3 linked regions of the Sus scrofa genome follow. The protein of the gene in region 2 interacts with the protein of the main gene of each other region in a biochemical or structural test. Links are inferred from orthologs where the notes say so. Each region holds a gene or a part of one and is shown on either strand. Other genes may lie near its edges.

Region 1 (7,507 bases), on a different chromosome or scaffold from region 2:
GAAAATATCTTGTGATCATAAAGTAATTTTAAACAGGAAGATCAGAGAAGTCTCTTAGAAACAACGTATGAATGGAAACAGCCAGTGTTAAGACAGAAGAAACAACAGTGCAATGGAATGAAGGTGGGAGTGACTTTTGTGTATTTGAAAGAGAAGGCCAGTGTGTTGGAGTAGAGTGAGTAAGGGAGGTACAAAAGCCCAAGGGTCAGAGGTAGGCAGAGGCCAGATTATAAAGGAATTTAGAGGCCTTGGGATGGAGTTTGGATTTTATTCTAGGTGTGCTGGAAAACCAAAGGAAGATTTTTGATCAGGAGAGTAATGTTATATAATCTACGTATGATTTATAGTTGTAAAAATCACTTTGGTTGCTGAGTGTGAAATCCACTATAAATGGGTAAAAGTGTAAAAAGAAAGATCAGCTAAGAAGTTACTCTAATAGCTCAGATAAGAAGTTATGGTGATAGTAGTGGAGATGGTTTTAAGTGTTTTTTCAAAGACAGGGTTAACAGGACTTGTTGATGATTATTAAGGGGTAAGGGGGAAAAAAATCAAGGATAACTCGCAGGCTTATTTTTCCTTTTTGACTGCATCCAAGATATGCAGAAGTTCCTGGGCCAGGGATCAAACTTGTGCCACAGCAGTGACAGTACCAAATCCTAAACCCACCAAGCCACCAGGGAATTCCCTTTTAGGCTTTTGATTGGTACATTTACAAATAAATAAGGACAGTAAATCAGGAGTTCTGCTTTGGATATGTTAATCTTCTTTTCTGGGTGTAGATGTTGAATAAACAACCTAACATATACCTCTGGGCTAGATATACATTTGGGAGTTATCAGCATTTAGACAGTATTTTTTTTCTTTTCTTTTTTTTTTGCTTTTTAGGGCCACTTGTGTGGCATATTGAAGTTCCTAGGCTAGGAGTCTAGTCAGAACTGCTGCCGCCAGCCTACACCACAGCCACAGCAAAGCAGGATCCGAACCACATCTGCAACCTACACCACAGCTCATAGCAATGCAGGATCCTTGACCCACTGGGTGAGGCCAGGGATCAAACCTACATGCTTGCGGATACCAGATGGGTTCGTTTCTGCTGAGCCACAACGGGAACTCCTAGATGGTATTTAAAGCCATGAGACTAGACAGAGTTACTGAGGAGGAGAGTTGTAGTGCAGTGGAAACTAATCCAACTAGTATCCATGAGGATGCAGGTTTGATCCCTGGCTTTGCTCAGTGGGTCCAGGAACCTGTGTTGCCGTGAGCTGTAGTGTAGGTCGCATATGCAGTACAGATCCTGCGTTGCTGTGGCTAAGGCGCAGGCCAGCAGCTGTAGCTTCGATTTGACCCCTAGCCTGGAACCTCCATATGCCATGGATGTGGTCTTAAAACGCAAAATAAATAAATAAATAAGGAAAGAGGACAATCGATGTAGCCTGAAAGCACATATGGAGCCAAGAATGACTCCTAGATTTCTAGTTTAGAAAAACGAGTGAACATGGTATCATTTACTGAGATATCTCCCTACTTCAGTGAACGAGAGGTATTTAAACAAAACAAAACTTTGGGAGGTTAGAACATACAGAGAATTTGTATTGGATATATTGAGTCTTAAATGCATGTAGGACACCCAGGGAACAACTAATGGGGTTATCAGAACAACTGCAGTATGTGGTTGGATATAGTTTTGTAGGAAATAGATATGGGAGACATGCATTTAGAGTCATCAAATAGCAGATGGTAGTTGACAGCAGGAAAATAGATGAGATCAAACAGAAAGACTATAGAGAAAAGAGTGCTAATAGGAGTTCCCGTTGTGGCCCAGCAGGTTAAGAACACAACATATTGTCTATGAGAATGCAGGTTCAATCCCTGGCCTCATGCAGTGGGTTAAGGATCTGGTGTAACTGCAAGCTGCAACATAAGTTACAGATGCCGCTTAGATCCAGTGTTGCTGCAGCTGTGGTGCAGGCCTGGGAACTTCCATGTCCCACAGTGCAATCATGAAAAAAAAAAAAAAAAAAAAAAAAAGGGAGTGCTAACAGCAGAAAACATTGGAACAAAACTTATCCCTGAGAGACAGAGGAAAAGGAGGCCATACATTTAAACAGTAACATCTTACTTTTTTCAGAAATCTAATTGCCACGGTCACTTAAGAAAAAGAAAAAAAAATTAAGGAGAAAAAGACTTGATGGCTTGAATTTGAAATCTAGCTCTAATAATTGCTATCCTTTTGACTTTGTGACTCTGTTTCTTAATAAACAGTGATAATATTTGGTCCATTCTATATCATGGAGATACTATGTGAATGAATAAGCTGCAATGAAAAAGTCATGACAATTAAAAACTACTATTAGGTAATTCTCCATGGGTAAGTGTTTTTGCTTTTGTTTTTGTTTTTGTCTTTTTTGTCTTTTTTAGGGCCACACCCACAGCATATGGAGGTTCCCAGCCTAGGGGTCTAATCAGAGCTGTAGCTGCCAGCCTACACCACAGCCACAGCAACGCCAGATCTGAGCTGCATCTGCGACCTTCACCACAGCTCACGGCAATGCCGGATCCTTAACCCATTAGGCGAGGCCAGGGATTGAACCTCATGGTTCCTAGTCGGATTCATTTCTTCTGCACCAGGACAGGAACTCCTAAGTTTTTTTTTTTATTATTCCTTCTCTTAAAATGGCTACAAATGAATCAAAGGTAACATAAGCTCTGTTGATGAAAGAGACTATAAATAAATCCAAGATAGTATTATTTTTATCAACAAGTATCATACTGGAAGAGAGAAAAGGGAAGAGAAGTATTAATCAGCAAATTCTATATTAAAGCAGGGGGAAGGGGGAAACACCCTGAGCTTTACATGGAGCCTGAAAGATGAAATAGGTACATCAACTTCCTGTGTGAACACCTGCCTTCATCTTCTTAAGAAAGGTAAATGTTACTTTACAAAATGTTTACCCAAGTATGATTGCAACACTCATGCCAAGGGGGAAAAAATCATACACACAAAAAGAGGATGATTCAGTTAAGACAAGCATGGTGCTGTTATTTATAACCTCTTATGTATGTAACTGAGGAAGACTAAATGTCAGTGTCTTGGTATGGCTAACAAGTGGAGAGGGACACAACTGCACTGCACAAAGAAAGGAAATTAAATATCCCATGGGCTTAAAATCAGTTGTGGCTGTGTGCTAAGTTTTCAAACAATTTAAGAAATTGGAAAGCAACTATTCCAATTGACAGTTCAAATGCAGTAGTGGTACAAGCCCACTTTTCTATTCACAGTAGGTTACCAAAAAAAAAAAAAAAAAAATTGAACAAACACCCTGCCTAGGCCTGGTTGAGGAAAGGTTGTAGGTGTGTTGAAGGACAGCAGACATCAACATCTCTCCCTTCTGTTGCGGCAGGAAACTGGTTTACATGATTCTATTCTCAGGTTTACAGGGGAAAAAAAAAAAAAAAGCTATGCAAATGGAACATTAAATTATCTTCAAATTTTGGCTTCATTCTTGCACATTTATATTTTGCAGACGTTGTGGTCGATTCCTGGGATTTCTGATTGAACTAACGAATTGGGGACTGGATGATCAACATGAAAAGGGTCCCATCTCCAGAATGGCCTATGGTTTCACTTCTAAGAAAGACACAAACTGCTTTTTCGAGCAACTGGCCTTCCTTGCATAAAATCTGAACAAATGACTTTTCATCCGAGGGCAGTTTGGGGTCAAAACATAGAAGACAACAGAAACTGAGACAAATCCACAGGTCAAGTACTCCATCAAGGAAAGAGGCTTTTGAGAAGCAAAGCAGTGAGTGTAGGGAAGTGATCAGAAAGTTACCATCCGGCGGGACCCTTCTTTCCCGCCGCAGAGGCAATCCCCTGGGGGTGCTGGTGGGGGAGGAGCTTCAGGGCGCCGCTGAGGTAAAGTGGGACCTGCAGACGGCCCTCCCCTCGGACCCGCATCTGGCGGGTCTGCGGCGAAGCCCCCAGTCCTTTTAACCGCCTCTCTGTAGGAGAAGCGCTCTAATCAGCCACGGAGTGTCTCCACAAGGGCCCGGGTTGAGGGGATCGGAACTAGGACGCGCGCGGCTGGGGAGGGAGAGCACGTGAGATGCCGGCCTGGCCCTACCTGCCCAGCTCCCGCAGGGCCGGGATCATAGACGCCAACTCCAGACCATGCTCGCCCATGCTGAGGACGTGCACCACCGGTCAACTACACCCAGGCGGGCTCCTGGCGTCTCCACAGCCACCTCCGATGAGAAAGCGCGGCGCCCGACGGTGCCTCGCGGGGCCCAAAACTCCTCCCGGAAGCCGTGCGGGCCCGCTCGCCAGGTCCTAGTTCTTTTCTGCGTAGGACCCGGGGGAGGCCGGGAGGCCGAAGTGGGTGGGGAGAGTGGGCGGGGCAAGGGACGCGGCGCGGCGGAGGGTCAAGTTTCCCCAGTTGGGTTCGCTCTGAGATAGGCAGCTTGGTAAGTGGCCAGGCAAAAATCGTGAGAGTTTTGGTTTTTAGTTGCTCTGCTCTGTCACTCCCAAGCTTGGGAGGCTCAGAGAACCCAGACCCCGGGTCCTGGGAGGAAAGGGGCGTGGCGGGCACTAGCCCAGAATCCCTCTCATGACAAATGTGAAAAATGAGACAATTCAGCATCTAGAGCCCCAAGATCAGATCCAGGTCTCCCCAAAGACGCCCCCAGGTTCTTCATTTTCTTACTGTTCTCTTGACGGGTGTCTGAGAGGTATGGCGCAAAAGGTGGGCTCCTCCTTGTCCCAGCGGATATTTTTTCCCCTCAAATTGAAGTCTGCATTAGGTTTCCTTGAGGATACTCTCAAGTTTTTTCCTTTCTTTTCTTTTTTTTTTTTTTTTTTTTTTTTTGGTATGGCCGCAACCGCGACAGACGGAAGTCCCCTAACCAGGGGTCAGATCCGAACGCAGCTGCAGCATCGTTGGATCCTTTAACCCTCTGTGGCAGGCTGGTGACTGAACTCTCGCCTCCATAGTGACCGGAGCTACTGCATTCGGATTCTCAACCCATTGTGCCACAGCGGGAACTTATCAACCTTTAATATTTAAGAAGAGGGTTAAATTGTGTTTATTTGTGGCTCATCAAGTGAGCGACAGTATTGTGTGTATTTATGTCACCTTTACCTTTGGCGTCTATTACCTGTGATTTAATTTTTAAGTAAATCAGTGGATTTTGGCTGTAGACATTTTGTAGCTCAACCTAGTTTTTTTTATACGAAAAATGGTCATCATAAGAGGCTGTTAACATGTCAAAGTTATGTTTAATCAGGCAAGGCCAGGCAGTGTATTTACCTTTGTTCCCTAACACAGGAGAATAATTGTTACACAGTATCTTAAGAAAAAAAAAAAAAAAGGAGGGAGTTTCTGTTGTGGCTCAGGGGTAGCAAACCCTGCTAGTGTCCATGAGCACCCAGTGGGTTAAGAATCCCTGGCTTCACTCAGTGGGTTAAGAATCCCGTGTTGGCGCAAGCTGAGGTGTAGATGGCATACGCCTCTTGGATCTGACCTAGCTGTGGTGGAGGCCAGCAGCATATGGAGGTCTGACTTGACCCCTAGGCTGGGAACCTCCATATGCCCTGGATGTGGCCCTAAAAAGACAAAAAAAAAAAAAAAAAGAAGCGGAGTGACAGCCAAATAGGCTCCTGTCTCAGGGATTTCGCGTTTGCTAAACCCTCTGCCTTGACCTTAAATATCCCTCTTAAATACCCTTCTTTCATCACTTCTCTTCAGATGTTTGCTGAAATGTCACCAGAAAGCCTCATATGGACTAGCACACTTGCACTCATACTCTCTCCCCCTCCATCCTTGCTTTATTTTCCTTCATAGCACATAGAATCAAGTTATATATTAAATACTATTTTTTTGACTGTCTCTTCCAATTAGAATATAAGCTCCTTGAGAGCGGGATTTTGCTTAGATACCTGGGACCTAAAAGAGTGCTTGGGATATAGTTGGTATGTAGTAATTATTTGTTAAATACCAGAATGCTATAGTGGGTGTTAGAGCACCAGGGAAAGAAAGACGGTTGACTGAAGCAGTGACATTTCAAACAAGATTTATTGACCAGCAGAGTGGTTGGGAGCACTGAGCAAGAGGAACTCAGAGCTGCCCGCTGTTGGGAGAAATTCAGGTTTTATAGGCTGGGGGTTTTGTGCTGAGTTCTGTAGGTCCAGGATGGTGGTTGAGATCAATGTATAAAAATTTAACTTTCTCGAAGTCCTCGTTGTGGCGCAGTGGAAATGAATCTGACTGGGAACCATGAGGTTGTGGGTTTGATCCCTGGCCTCGCTCAGTGGGTTAAGGATCTGTTGTTGCCGTGAGCTGGCCTGCATTGCTGTGGCTGGGGTGTCAGCCGGTGTCTACAGCTCTGATTGGACCCCTAGCCTGGAAACACCATATGCTGTGCATGCTACCCTAAAAAGACCAAAAAAAAAAAAAATTAATTTTCTCTTTGGGCTGTCTTTGTCCTTGGGAAGTCAACCGCTTCATGGGCTTGGTTTTTCCACTTGTGGCGGTCCAGTGAAGTGGAGGCTGCAGGTCTGAGTCTGGGTGGGTCAATGAGTCATGCAGACTTACTCTTTTTTAGGTCTTCATTTTAGTTTCTACCTAAGAGTGGGCAGATCATGTGATTTTGAGTTGAGCCCCTATGCAAGTTCTCACTCCATCTGCTGGAAACTATAAAGTTGGTTGAGTTACTTAACCTCTTTGTACTAAAATTTTTCATCTATAAAATGAGATTATTAATATCTACTGCATAATGTTATAGTAAAGATAAAATAAGAGGTGGTAGTGTCCTACAGTGGAATATCATTTCGTAGTTAAAATGAATGAAGTGTGAATTCTGAAAACAGTGTTGAGTGAAAAAAAGCAAAAGACAAAAGGATACATAACAGTATCAAGGCACTTACATACCTTTTGAACTCACAAAATAAGGCTTTGTGTGAGTGAATTGTGTATACATATATATATGATAAAAAAAATTTTTCTTAATGGTTGGAAAGGCTATACATCAACTCCAGGAGAGTTGTACCTCTGGAGAAGGAGAGAAGGGATGTAATAATAAGTTTTCAATATATCTGTGAAGATTTTCTTTTAATTGGATTGGATTAATCATGACAAATTTAACGTTTACTATGTTTGGGTGACCTGCTGATATCTCTCTAATTCTTCCGTTCAGATCTCTCTCAGATTTATATTTCATATGTCTACCTTTCTACTGCATTTTTTTCCTTGAGTTTTTTCCCAGGCATTTTATTTTTAACTTTTTGTTATGGACACTTTCAAATATATATGAAAAATAGAATAGGAGTTCCCTGGTGGTGCAGCAGGTTAAGGATCTCGAGTTGTCACTGCTGTGCCTCCAGTTAACTGCTGTGGAACTTCTGCATAGCCTGGGTGTAGCCAAAAAAAAAAAAAAAGTAGAGAGAGTAGACTAAGTAAACCCCCCCACCTATGCCCATCATCCAACTTGAACAACTATTTACATGCATATG
Region 2 (6,956 bases):
CTTCAGAAGGGAGTGGCAGTTACGTGAGTCACTGGGCAATGCACCCCCCACCTCTGCTCCCACCACCCACCCCAGGCCTAGAGTTTCCCAGATCTGCTTTGTAAAAACCCTAAAAAGCTAAACAGATGATGTTAACTCCCCACTCAAGAATTTTCTATGGCTCCCTCGGGCTATTTATGTGACCCTCCCACCTTTAATGATGGAGGCCAACATTGACAAATCCTCTACCAGGCACTTTAAGTGAAATTCCCACCATAGATTCCCTCAGAAACACCATATTAAATTGATACTCTTATTGCACTCATTTTATAGATAAGGAAATAGAAGCTCAGCAACTTGAAGTAACTTGTCCAAAGCCAAAGTCAGGGAGTACAGAGAGCTGAGATTAGCACAATATTGTTCCTACCACTAATGTTGCCATCCTAGCTGCATTTGCTCACATTTCAAAGTCCTGTGCCCACCTCCAGCTGGGTGGTCAGTGGAAGGGGCCCTACCAGGGAGGAGCCTCTATGGACCCTTTTAGCTTCTATAGTGGGGGGGATGCAGACAGGCACTTAGGTTTACAATCTCCCCCTCCCCCTATGACATTGTGGAAAAAAGAAAAATAATTCCCCCAAAAGAAAACTGGAGTTTGAGGTTAAGGAAAAGAATCAATGCTGGATGGCCTCAAACCAGCAACTGATGTCTCTCCATTTATGATTAGTTTCCTATGGCTGCTGTAACAAATTATCACAAATTGGGTGGCTTAAAACAACACAATTTATTCTCTTAAAGTTTTGTGGGTCAGAAGTCTGAAATCAGTTTCATTTTGTGAAAGTCAAGGTGTAAAGGAAAGGACTGGTTCCTCAGCAGGCTCTGAGGGAGAATCCATTTCCTTGCTTTTTGTCAGCGTCTAATAGCTGCCTATATTCCTTGGTTGATGGCCTCTTCCTGTTTTCAAAGAGCACCACTCCATCTCTTCTGACTCTGCCTCTTCCTGTGTCCCTCTTGAAAGGAACATTGTGATGATATTGAGTCCACCTTGATAAAACAGATCCCAAGATCCTTCACTTAATCACACCCACAAAATCTCTTGTGCCATGTAAAAGAACATGCTCATAAATTCTGGGGATTGGGATGAGAATATCTTTAGAGGTCATTATTTATCCCACTCTAGTAGGTATAATCAGAGGGACCTAATACAAAGTGCTCTGGAAACAGAAGGGCTGGCTGACTCTGCCCCAAGAGGGAAAGAGGCCCTAAGAAACCACAGCCTTCACATTAAATATTCAAATGAGCTAAAACCCATCTAACTTGGCAATCTCAGCCTCATTCCTTTAAATATGCAAACCACCTAAATCCCATCAAGCCCTAAGTAATGGGCCAGCCAAGCCTCAGAAAGCTTGCGCACCCTTCTAATGGAAATTGCCAACCACCACCCTTAATGCCTGGGGCAACAACTATGTGCTCACCCTATCCTGGCTGGCTCACCCACTGGCATCTGAACCAAGGCACTCAACTCATGGCATGGTCAACAAGCTACAATGTGGCCTAGTGTCAGCCAGCCAAAGTTGCAAGAGAAGCAAAATCAGTGGGTCAGAAGGAGACAAGAGGAGCCAGTCAGTAGAACTGTCTACGCTCCTGCTCCCAGGCCCAGCCGTCTGTAACAATGAAACAAATCCCCTTTTCCATATAGTAATTGAATGGGCCTCTGTTCCTTGCCACCAAGATGTTCCAACTAACACAGATCATAGGTTGTACTCATTCATCATGATTGAACATACTGGTATTCAATATTTAGACATCAGTCTTATGTGAGTTTTGTCAGTGTGAGTCAACATCTGTGAGTCTGACTAAATATGGGAAGGAGATGAGGAACATGAATTTGTGTCGGAAAACCCTGGGTTGGGTCCCAGGTCTGCCACTTCCTAGTTGTATGATGTTGGATAAGTCACCTTACTCCTTCAGCCTGGGTTCCTCACCTATAACATAAGGTTATAGGGGCATTTCCAAAATCCAAATAGCTCTGAAACCTGAGTGTCCCCCATAACCGACATGGTAGAAGATGGACCTGAAGTGCCATGAGGCTACTTAGTTTTCTCTATCCCAACTACTTTGAATATTTGTTGCAGAAAAATTAGTGTTTGGTTTTAGGACTCAGCTGGATATTACACACAACACAGTCCATGTGCCTGGTCCTCTTCCTAAACTAAGGAAATTTTTGAATTTTACAATGTATCTGTCCCTGTTATTTCAAGGATAATGAGGGTGAGGATAGGACTCTAAAACTGACCCATGGTATACTGTCTTCTGAGGACTCTGGCATCCAGCCAGTGGATACAAACTCCACCCCAAGTCACTGTACCCCTTCCCCGTACAACTTTTTAAGGGGCCTTCAGAATCTGTATGAGGTTCACTTAGGCTGAGACCAGGGGTGCATCCTAAGAAACCTGCCTGATTATAGCCAAGGTAAAAGCACCAAAGGCACACAGCAACTTCACATACACACACACTAAAGGCATGTAACTAAGAGCTAGTCAACAAGCAAAAGCACAAGAGTTCCCTTGTGGTGCAGTGATTTAAGGATCCAGCATTGTCACTGCAGCAGCTTGGGTTCAATCCCTGGCCTGGGAAATTCCACATGCCACAAGTGTGGCCAAAACAAAAACAAAAACAAGCAGAAGCACAAAGCCTGGGTTCCATTTGTTTTCAATTGTATATTGATGATCGTGGAAAAACAACTATTCCTATAATGGAAATACAAAGTATAAAAAACAGATTTAAAGGAAATGGCAGCAGAGTTCAAGAAGGTACATTCTTTTCATGGTCACCCGGTGTTCACAAGACAGCAGCACACACAGCCAGGTGCTTTGTGGGCTCAGCATCCTCTGTATCCCCCTCAAGATGCCGCTTTCGACTTGTAGAAGGCTGGAAGGAAAAGGGAGAAATGTTCAAAGAAAACCTATGGCTTCTTTATGATGATCAGAGTTTCCCAATATGATTCCAGTAAATTTGGAGCACTTTTTTTTCTTTCTTTTTTGGCCACACCCGAGGCATATGGAAGTTCCCAAGCCAGGGATGGAATCCGAGCCATAGCTGCAAACTTTGCCACAGTGCAGCAATGCTGGATCCTTTAACCCACTGTGCCTGGCTGGGCAGGAACCTACACCTCTGCATCGACCAGAGCTACTGCGGTTGGATTCTTAACCCACTGTGCCAGGGTGGAAACTCCTAAGCACATTTGGTCCATGTGCGTAGGTGGAGGCTACAGCAAAGCCAGTCCTTAACCCACTGCACTGCGCTGGGCAGAGGATCAAATTCATTCTGCCCCAGAGACAACATGGGATCCTTAACCCATGGCACCACAGCAGGAACTCCCTGGAGCACTTCATGTGAAACTTCTAGGAACTACTGGTTGCCCTCAGTCAATCTGAATCCCTACCCCAGCCCTCGCAAACACCCAGAAATACTTATCAAACTGATATTTCTCTCCCTTGTGGCCTCCAATCACTCAATGATGTACATTGAACATAAGCAGTATAACCAGCCTCTTCTTGGTTGTTTTCTCCTAAGTTATGAAATTTAAAGGGACCACAATTCATCTCTCCCAGGGAGCCTCAAGTCTCTCCCTTTTGTGGAAAGATAATCTTTTTTGTGTCTTTGTTATCCCATTTATAAAACTTCGAGGGAGCAGTGGGAAGAAGAATGTTACCAAAAGAAGGCAAACTAAGAATGAACAGATAGTAACTGATACTTACACAAAGAATTTTAGAGAAGATTATAATCAGGAAATCAACTACTCCCGCAATTTTTAAAAATTTATTATTATTATTATTATTATTATTGTCTTTTTAGGGCCAGACCTGTGGCACATGGAGGTTCCTAGGCTAGGGGTCCAAACAGAGCTGTAGCCGCCAGCCTACAACAGAGCCACAGCAATGCGGGATCTGAGCCGCATCTACAGCCTACACCACAGCTCCCAGCAATGCCGGATCCCCAAGCCACTGAGCAAGGCCGGGGATCAAACTCGTGTTCTCATGGATGCTAGTCAGGTTCGTTAACTGCTGAGCCATGACAGGAACTTCCACTCCCCCAAATTTTAAATTTTTCAACGAATTTAAATCTGAGCCTCTAATACAGTCTTCCAATCTTGCCTTGTAGGAGACTTCTTGAATGACAACCCCTAGCTGTGCTTTTCATGCATTAAACATATTCTTCATTATTAAATCTTCTAAAGGTTGTACAGCAGATCAAGCTGAAACAAAGTATCTACTAAATTATTCTTTACCAAAAAAAAAATATTAAGCAATTGCTGCTAAAGAGATTATTCAAACCATCATCCTCCAATCCTCAGTTCTTTTTTTTTTCCTAGGGCTGCACCTACAGCATATGGAAGTTCCCTGGCTAGGGGTTGAATCAGAGCTATAGCTACCAGCCTATATCACAGCTACAGCAACATGGGATCTGAGCCATGTCTGCAAACTATACCACAGTTCATGGCAATGCCAGATCCTTAACCCACTGAGGCCAGGGATAGAGCCAGCATCCTCATGGATACTAGTCGGGTTCGTTAACCACTGAACCACAACGGGAACTCCCACTCAGCTCTTTAAACTTAGCCTACATTTAATGACCATCTTCCAGAATACCTGGGCTGGAACCTGAGACAGAGCTGTGGACTTGTCTTCTTCAAAAAGCAAATTCTTAAATTTTCTCTTCATGTCCTCATCCTGTGAAGAAATGAAAAACATTAAGTAGGCAGAAAGGCAGGGCTAGGATGCCCCTGGAAACAGGGAAATGGGAACTCCCGTCTGTCCACACAGAGGCTGCCCTTGCTGAAGCTCCAGAAGGGAGAAGACTAGGCAGTCCTCACCTCTGCCTTCACAGAACAGTCTGATCAGCAGTCAGTGCTCAGCAATGGCTGAACCAAACCCGTAGGCTTAAGAGCTGTTGGTGGGTCAGAGAGAACCAGAGACTGGAGTTCCCGTCATGGTGCAGTGGTTCACGAATCCAACTAGGAACCATGAGGTTGCGGGTTCAATCCCTGGCCTTGTTCAGTGGGTTAAGGATCTGGCGTTGCTGTGAGCTGTGGTGTAGGTCGAAGACACGGCTCGGATCCCGCGTTGCTGTCGCTCTGGCGTAGGCCAGCAGGCTACAGCTCCAATTCGACCCCTAGCCTGGGAACCTCCGTATGCCTCGGGATCGGCCCTAGAAATGGCAAAAAGACCAAAAAAAAAAAAAAAAAAAAAAAAAAGAGAGAGAGAGAGAACCAGAGATTTCAGTAGTCAAAGACTTTCAGAACTAGCACCCCAGATCCTAAGACATGGTAATCAAGAGGCCAGAGGCTGAGGCTGGCTCCATGCTGCTCCCCCTGCCAACAATGAGGCCAATTACTGGGGCCATCCTAACAAAGCAACCCTGTACCCTAGGAAAATAAACTGGGCAAGCACTGTACAATTGCCAGAAGGACTTCCAGTGCACAATATCCCAAGGATAACGAGAAAGAAGGACAAGTGAACAGGCCATAGCATTATAGGTGTTTCTTTCTGCTAGAGGGGAATTGGAGAGAGAGGGGTTTATACAGATAACTCTCACCTCCATGGATGCTCGCAACTACCAAGGACTTGCATCCGAGAGCCCTGAAAAGTGACAGCTCTCCCCACCTTCAGAAAGGGGAAACATTCATGACTAGGACTGTGGGCTTTGGGGCCAGCTAGAAGCCAAGCTCAGCCACTTACAAGCTACGTGTGCAGAATACAGCCCCAGAGCAGCCTGATTCCATATACTTTCCTACCCGACCTGCCTCCACTCTCCCAGTGCACCATGATGGTTGAGGAGAAAGGACACAGGAATGAAGGCCTTCAACGTTCAATAATTTGATGGATGAAGAATTACAGTGTTTGAGGATGAATCCGCCTGTTCTACACCTATTACCTAGAATCATCTGCTTCCATCACCCTGTTTACTGAATCACTCAGTGTAGCTCTCCACTGCCCAAGCACCAAGTTCATCTGGATTCCACTCCACATAGTTCCCTAGGATCTCACTTCTCAGGCAAGGCCACCCTCAATTGTCCATCCCTTATTTCTCCTGCAGCTGCTTACAGCCTCAGCTGGGAACCCCTCTGTGCCTTCCTGCCCACCCACCACCTCACCCCACTTCCTCATTCACTAGGTGAACAAATATTTTGCAAAGACCCTTAGATGTCAGGCGCTATAATAAGCACAGGGGCCTCCATATCAGAGGGACTCAATCAGTGTTAAAAATGCTATCCCCTGTTGTTATGGCAACTGAACTGTGATTGTTATGACTGAACTGTGTGAGTCATGACTGAACTGTACCTCTCCCCCACCCCCATTTATATATTGAAGCCCAACACCTCATATTGTGACTGTACTTGGAGACAGGGCCTTTAAAGAGGTAATTAAGTTAAAATGAGGCTCTTAGAGTGGGGCCTTAACGCATTATGGCTGGTCTCCTCCTAAGAAGAGAAAAAGACACCAGGGATGTGAGCACACAGAGAAAAGACCAAGTGAGGACACAGTGAGAAGAGCAGCCACCTGCAAAGTGAGGAAAGAGACCTCAGGAGAAACCAAAGCTGCTGGCACCTTGAAATTGGATTTCAAGCCTCCAGAATTGTGAGAAGATAAATTTCTGTTTTTTAAGCCACCTGGTCTACGGTATTCTGCTATGGCAGCCAGAGCGGACTGACACAGTTATGTCACCTCCGAGCCATGCAGCCTTTGGATGCTCCTCACACCGTGTGAACCTGTGGTTACCTGAAGCCCTGTGGCCCTGTCTCACCCTGGAGATTCCCCTACTCTGCACCCACCCCTATTGCCACACGTGTCCCACTGCTCTTAACTGTCCTCTGAAAGAACAAGTGAATGCATGAAAAAATTAAATCATGCAGCCATAGAGAACTGACCACAAGCCTATGTAGGCCTGTATTTAAAACAAGTCATCAGTGGAGTTCC
Region 3 (7,555 bases), on a different chromosome or scaffold from region 2:
TTCCACCCATGTCTTTTTAACATCCTGTATGACAAAAAGGGAAGCATGCATAAACACTTCTGTTGCATGCTATGGCTGTCTAGAGAAAAAGTGAAAAGCACTTGTGATTATGCAAGTTATGAAATGAACTAGCCACATTCTTCACAGACCATCATTTTTACTTGAAGGACTGATAAAATGTGTTAATAAACTTTGGCATTTTGGGAGTTCCCATTGTGGCACAGTGGTTAAGGAATCCGACTAGGAACTATGAGGTTGCGGGTTCTATCCCTGGCCTTGCTCAGTGAGTTAATGATCCAGCATTGCAGTGAGCTGTGGTGTAGGCTGCAGACGTGACTCGGATCCAGCGTTGCTGTGGCTGTGGCGTGGGCCAGTGGCTATGGCTCTGATTCGACCCCTAGCCTGGGAATCTCCATATGCCGTGGAAGCGGCCCTAGAAAAGACAAAAAGACAAAAAAAAAAAAAAAACTTTGGCATTTTGTACATTTTCTTCAAAACAAAGTGCTTTTCACTTCAAGAAAAGCAACTGACAGTATTTATTGCTAAGTGACAAATTTCTGCCTCTTAAGAACTCATATTTTAGGAGTTCCTACAGAGGCGAAATGGGATTGGTGGCATTTCTGCAATGCCAGCACACAGGTTTGATCCCTGGCCCAGCACAGTGGGGTAAAAGATCAGGCACTGCCACAGGGTGGCCAAAAAAGAAAAAAAAAAAAAAAACCTCACATTTTAGGAATTCCTGCTGTGGCACAGTAGGTTAAGGATGCAGTGTTGCTGCAGCTGCAGCGTAGGCTGCAGCTCAGAATTGATCCCTGCCCCAGGAACTTCCATATGCTGGAGGCCAAAAAAAGCCCTCATATTTAAGACTTTGTATATCCACTACGATGAACTTGATAGCTTCCTAGTCTTAAATTTCTGATGAGATCAGTGATATTAACAAATGTGATGCTTTAATATCATATGATAAATGCATCAGGAGTTCCCGCCGTGGCTCAGTGGTTAATGAATCCAACTAGGAACCTCGGGATTGTGAGTTTGACCCCTGGCCTGCTCAGTGGGTTAAGGATCTGGGGTTGCCATGAGCTGTGGTGTAGGTCGTAGCCTGGGCTCGGATCTGGTGTTGCTCTGGTGTAGGCTGGTGGCTACAGCTCCGATTAGACCCCTAGCCTGGGAATCTCCATATGCGTCAGGTGCAGCCCTAGATGAGACAAAAAGACAAAAAATAATAATAATAATAATTAAAAAAATAAAATAAAATGCATCTATACTTGAAAGATATGCATAATTCAGTGAACCATTATTTTCCAAATTCCTAATGAATGGCACCATGTCACAAAATCACAACTGGGTAAAAGACTGATTCAAGGTGCAAGAGACCAATGGCTCTTAATGTCAAAATGCAGAAGTTCAATGGATAAGGTTTCAGATTCTATTTTGAGTAACCTTAAGAAGCTACCAATTTGGTATGGAATATCACAATCATCTGAAAATACAAACAATTCCTCCCTTTTCCTACTACATACGTTTGCAAGTCTGCCTTTTCACTTACATACGTCACCAGACAACACAGCATAAGAGAGTGAATGAATGCAGAAACAGGTATGAGAATATTTATTTCAAATTTTCTTATTTGGGGGAAAAAAGTAATTTTTCACTTAAAAATATGTCAACATATATGTTTATTTTTAATAGATTAATAACTTTAATTTCTCAATTTTTAACTTCTCATACAGTAAATATGATAGATATAGCCCACACAAACAAAAGCTCTTTAGGGTTCTAAGTCCTTTCAGTACAAATTTACGAGAGCAAAAAGTTTGAGAAACACTACTATAACCCAATGAGAACTACAAAAGTGGAAACTTGACATAGGAAGTTTCCTTTGTCAGGACTTCCATATACTCAGCGTACTCTTTTTCCTTAATTCAAGTTTTGCGGATAGAGTATGAGATTAACTGTGGAACAAAGCAAACTTTAACATTTGGTGCATAAGGCTCTAAACCCATGCCTCAAAGGAGTGAAATCTTGGCACAAGAATTATGTTAAAAAAAAATACACATTCAAAAATAAATAAATAAATAAATAAAACACAGACATTCATTAATAAAGCATGGTTTCTGCTTTATTAAAAAATGCTCAAGTAAAAGGGTTTATACTTGGATCCTTTTGGTGAAAACATGTGGCAAATTCATGCTGTTTCAACTGTACTGCAAAATAAACAGAATTCCAAGTAGTACTTTGTGTCTAATCTTCCTCTATCTTGTCTTGCTGTCCCTCCTACTTGCCCTGCAAGCAATGAAATGACATATTTCTGGAATATACTGCAGTGCTTTCAGCTCTGCTCTGCCTACACAAAAACAAAACAAATCCATAATAGGGACCTCTGGGATTGGATGGAAAACAGCCTCCCACAGGCGGACTGGTTATGCTATGAGTCAATCAAATAATTCTTGGCAGAAAGCCAGGCAAATAGAAAACAGACTCTGAAAGAGCCTAGTCTACAACTCCATCAGAATACCTTTTTAAAAATGTTTTGTATTTGACCAATCTTTACACTCTATGTCTCTCTTCTGGAAATAAAGCAACACTATGCCACCATATAAACAAGAGGATTTTTTTTAATGACACACAGTATCATTTTTTCCTCTAAAAAATAATTTATGCCATTCATTCACAGCAATGGGTAAGCAACTATAACTCAACTTATGTTAGGTACAGAAACAATGGCTGCTTTAGAAAACATTTAAGGCTTAGATGAAACTGCAACTAAACCAAACTTTTAGAAATTAAGGTCTCTAATTCCTTTTAGCATATCAGCAATTCCTTATCTCTTGCTACTTTGACGAGCAGCTACAATTTAGCTACAAAGAACTTTTAACTAGGAACTGCTGAGAACTATCTGACAGCAATTAGCTAATAGCAACTTCAGCAAAAAAAAAAAAAAAGTGCACTTTAAAAAAGCCCTAGCTGAATTTAACACGTATTCTTAACGTAGGATCAATTTAGGCGGTAAGAATGCATTCGGCGCTGGTTTTCATGAGCAGTACAAGCATAAAGATCCTAGAAACACTTGATGACCACCACACACACGAAATTCCTTCCAAGCCTTTAGGTCGCCGGATAACTTGTTAGCCTAACAGTTTACTCTAACTACCAGCCACCAGGGGTCAATTTTGGAGGACTGACACCGCCCGTAGGAGACAACCGAGTCTTTCAAAAGCAAAATTGTGACAAATTCGAAGGAAACGCTCTAATTTTTGCCATCTCCCGCTTCCTTTGCGTGTTTCAGGCAGCACCGTGTCTTCAATGAATCTTTTGGCCAAATCTGGCGCCAGGTTTCAAACATGTTTTCGCTGGCCGCCACCAAAGTGAAATCGCGAAGGGAGAGGACCGCTCCCCCACTGATCCTTGGCGGGGATGGGGGGTGTAAATAAAACGTGGAGCGTTTGCACAGAGACAGTAATCCTGTCCTGCCCAAAGCTACTTTGTTTGCCCGGACCTCCACCTAGAAGAGTCTTCACTCCCACCGATGGACACTGAGAGCGCTCTCGTTGTGGGGACCTGCAGTGCTGCAGCTACGGCCCCCAACCTGGCGCTACAGTCTCCTGAAAAAGAGGCGGGCGCCAAATAAGCCGGGGAACTTACCCAATTTCTTCCACATGGCGAGGTGACAAGCAAGGAAGCCCTTGCGGATGGCAGCGCACACCTTCGCCGGCTCGGACGAGGTGAAGCCCTTCTGTTTTTTGATGAAACCCCACAAGTGCTCCCGGGCAAACTGTGCCGCCTCCCGCCCGCCGTGCCCGTCGCACACGGCGAAAAAGGCCACCGAGGAACGGCGGCGGCAGCAGCGGCCGGGAGCTGGCGAGGCCCCGGCGTCCGGCGGAGCGTCGCGAGCTTCTCGGGCTGCCACCGCTGGGCCTTTCCCCGAGACTTCGCCTCCAGGAAGGGCCGGCGGTGTCCGCTGCGGGGGCGACGGCTGAGAAAGCGACCGCCGCGGCGAGGGCTTTTCTTCAGTTGTCGGCTCGGGCTCCACCACGATCTGAGTAACGTCCTCCATGTACTTCCTCCCGCCCTGGTCGGAGAAGACGCTCACTCCCAGTGAGTACAGCCCCGCCATGGCCGGCTGGCCGAGATCCCGCCGGTCCCACGCAGCCCGCCGAGCGGCGGGAGACACTCGGCGCTAGCCGGCCAACTATTGTTTATCTTCGACGACGCCGAGAAGGGGGAGGGGGCGGTCCCGGAGGTGGGGGGGCGCGATGTCGGGACTTGTCCGCGAGAGCTGGGCCGGAGCGCCCGGGCAAGCGGAGCCTAGCAGCTGCGCCTGCGCAATGCGCCTCCCCCGCCTGCCCGCGCCCACCACACAAATCGGACGTTCTCCCCGGCTGACGTCACTCGGCTCTCTGGGGCCGACCAATCCGGAGTCGAGTTGGGGGCGAACACGCCCTCCGCCCCTCCCTTCTCCCTACAACGGCCGCACTCCCTCCTCCCTGCGCGGGCGCGAAGCCAGCGCGCTACCCGGCTGGCTTTCGCTTTGCAGTGGGCGGTTTCGTCCTCCGGCTTTTCGGCGGGTGCTAAACGCTTATCTAGCGCCTTCTCTGTCACCTTTTTGCTCCGTCCCCGCGGTCGAATTGCAGCCTGCTGCCCAGGGCGTTGCGTTGCTTGCCTGGTGGGAAAAGCCGTGTAGGCTCGGGCCTCGCACGAGTGTGAAGAATCTAGAGAGAAAAACCTTCCATTTCTTGAAGTGGCGGGAAACCTCAGTTTGGAAGGTGGTTTGTGAATAGGCTGGGAAAAGCGTGGCACTGTCGAACTGGACTTGGGTGGGATGGATCCGACTGGGAGTTGTGAAAGGAAATCCACTTTGTGTTAAGAAAACACGGGAAATTTCCACCATTGGCTGCACGGTCTCGTTTCACATAAACTAGGTATGTCGGACACTTAAACGGCTTATGTTTTAAGTTCTTTTCAGCTTTTGCTAAAAGTAGTACTTTCCCCGATGAGCCCTGGATGCAGCATTTTAGTCCTTCGGCGGAATCACTTGAACAGACCACTTGAAAATAGGTTACAAAAACTGCCCAGCGCTCGAGTGCTCCAAGACCTTGGTTATCGTCTCTCCTCTTCTCCCATGGGTTGCAATCTAAGCCCTAAAACCTTTGCCCGGATTTCGACGGCATTAAAATAAGCCTCAGAGTTGGCAGGTCAGTTTGTTATCAACAGCAAATGTTCCTGTGAGTCAAATTAAAGTTCACTTTTTCAGTTTTCGGCCACTTCACCATCACCTCTCCTGTGTGCCCCTTCCTGTACAGCCTTAGAAATTTCCAAATGAAATGCTCCTGGTACTGAACTGGGAATAGGGAAAAAAACTGCTCTCTCTCTTTTTTTTTTTTTTTGTCTTTTTGCTATTTCTTGGGCCGCTCCCACGGCATATGGAGGTTCCCAGGCTAGGGGTCTAATCGGAGCCGTAGCCACCAGCCTACGCCAGAGCCACAGCAACGCAGGATCTGAGCCGCGTCTACAACCTACACCACAGCTCACGCAAGGCCAGATCGTTAACCCAATGAGCAAGGGCAGGGACCGAACCTGCAACCTCATGGTTCCTAGTCAGATTCGTTAACCACTGCGCCAGGAGGGGAACTCCATGCTCATTTTTTTGACATCTGGCACAAGAAATACAACTAGAAAAAAAATCCTCCCAATAAAAGAAGTAAAATCACCCCGAAATGGAGAAAATCTGAATAGATCCATTAAATTAAAAATGTAATCAAAGATAAGCCCTATGTTAAAATGCACCAGACCAGATGGTTCCAGAGTGTAAAAACACTTGGAAAAAATCCCAGCTTGTTTTGAAAGGTGATCATAATCCTGTTATCAAAACCTAGTAATTATAACACTAGAAGGAAATCTATAGACAACATTTTATACTAAATGCAAAAAAAGGTGAAATATTAGCAATTCTAATCCAATAATCTCCATAACACAAGACCTGCCAAAAAGAACAGTTTATGTAGCTCTATATTATTCCTCTTAAATAGTTTACCCAACTTCCCTTCCCCTTGTAGAGATTACAAAGGGATCATTACTTCATTCTCTATAATCCTTTTCCCTCAGTCACAATCAGTAGCCTCAGGGTCATCCATCATTACCCTGATTAGCATCTCCATGCTACTCTCTTGATTCAGTACCCTGCTCTTCACCAGTCATCCTAACCATTTCTCTCCACCCTTTAGGTTTCAACATCTGTTATCAGCCATTTCCTCTTTGTTTTTCACTCTTCTCTAAATGTTCCCATCAGCTTCCTGTTCCAACCGAAAACTGGTTGATTGCCTAGCAAAACTACCTCCCTTACAACTTTTCAAGTAGATTATTTTTCCTCTCAACAGATATTCTTATCTTCGAACCGTCTCATATTGCCTACAAATCATTTCCCTTCCTTCCTCCTTCAAAAATCTAAGCTCTCTCTCCCTTTTTTTTTTCTTTTTGCCATTTCTTGGACCGCTCCCTCGGCATATGGAGGTTCCCAGGCTAGGAGTCGAATTGGAGCTGTAGCCACCGGCCTACACCACAGCCACAGCAAACGCCGGATCCTTCACCTACTGAGCAAGGTCAGGGATCGAACCCTAAACAGTACCTAGTCAGATTCGTTAACCATTGTGCCACAATGGGAACTTCAACCTAAGCTCTTTTAAAATTAGTGACAACTGCCACAACACCAAGATACTGTAACACCCCTTCATTTGTTCCTGGCTCACTGTCTAATTTGCTTCCACTATGCTTTTTGTTTTGTTTTGTTTTGTTTGTCTTTTTAGGGCCGCACCTATGGCACATGGAGGTTCCCAAGCTAGGGGTGGAATGGGAGCTGTGGCCGCCGGCCTACCCAACAGCCACGGCAACTGGGGATCCCAGCTGTGTCTTCTACCTACACTACAGCTCACAGCAATGCTGGATCTTTAACCCACTGAGGGAGGCCAGGGATCGAACCTTCTCCTCATGGATACTAGTCAGATTCGTTTCCGGAGTCAGGACAGGAGCTCTTGTCTTCCACTATTCTTGTCGCTTCTTAGCCACTTTATTTTTCAAAATGTTATCCACATTTTCTGTCCAATACCCTGGCTTCTCAGCTCTTCATCTTCCTCTTCATGGTGACATGGCCTTGCTACCATTAAGAGCAATCCCTCTATTGTGTTCTCATTTCTCTTTCCTCTATTGAGATCTTTACTCCACCAGGTATCTTTTTTTTTTTTTTTCTTTTTTTGGTCCTACCTCATCAATTCATCAATTTCTCTTTTTCCACCAAGTCATTTCCATCTTTGTAAAAACGTGTCCTGGTTTCTCCGCCTCCTCCCCCACACCCATGGCTTGCAGAAGGTGCCAGGCCAGGGGTCAAACCCTTGCCCCAAGCCTCTCTCTAGATTCTACTTCCAATTCCTACCTCATAACTTCTCCTTAACCCATTCTAATCAAGTGCCATCCCTGTAATGCTGCTAAGACTATTTTTAGGACATAACCAGACCTCTCTGCTTCCAAAGCTAATGATGATTTTTCTGTTCTTAGGAACTTC

What was found.
Region 1: of the proteins of CHEK2 (region 2) and ATR, one has a biochemical effect on the other in vitro, tested with the Homo sapiens proteins (2 studies listed by BioGRID). The link is inferred for Sus scrofa from reciprocal best matches to the Homo sapiens genes CHEK2 and ATR.
Region 3: of the proteins of CHEK2 (region 2) and PPM1D, one has a biochemical effect on the other in vitro, tested with the Homo sapiens proteins (2 studies listed by BioGRID, with this or other methods). The link is inferred for Sus scrofa from reciprocal best matches to the Homo sapiens genes CHEK2 and PPM1D.

Annotation. Positions count from the first base shown.
Region 1 is NC_010455.5:83,285,649-83,293,155, forward strand, and holds the start of ATR (serine/threonine-protein kinase ATR), read right to left. Parts: upstream 4,339-7,507; 5' UTR 4,184-4,338; coding exon 4,125-4,183; intron 1-4,124. UniProt on the Homo sapiens protein: Serine/threonine protein kinase which activates checkpoint signaling upon genotoxic stresses such as ionizing radiation (IR), ultraviolet light (UV), or DNA replication stalling, thereby acting as a DNA damage sensor.
Region 2 is NC_010456.5:45,927,036-45,933,991, forward strand, and holds the end of CHEK2 (serine/threonine-protein kinase Chk2), read right to left. Parts: intron 4,710-6,956; coding exon 4,629-4,709; intron 2,908-4,628; coding exon 2,818-2,907; 3' UTR 2,673-2,817; downstream 1-2,672. UniProt on the Homo sapiens protein: Serine/threonine-protein kinase which is required for checkpoint-mediated cell cycle arrest, activation of DNA repair and apoptosis in response to the presence of DNA double-strand breaks.
Region 3 is NC_010454.4:37,531,822-37,539,376, forward strand, and holds the start of PPM1D (protein phosphatase 1D), read right to left. Parts: upstream 4,339-7,555; 5' UTR 4,118-4,338; coding exon 3,646-4,117; intron 1-3,645. UniProt on the Homo sapiens protein: Involved in the negative regulation of p53 expression. Required for the relief of p53-dependent checkpoint mediated cell cycle arrest.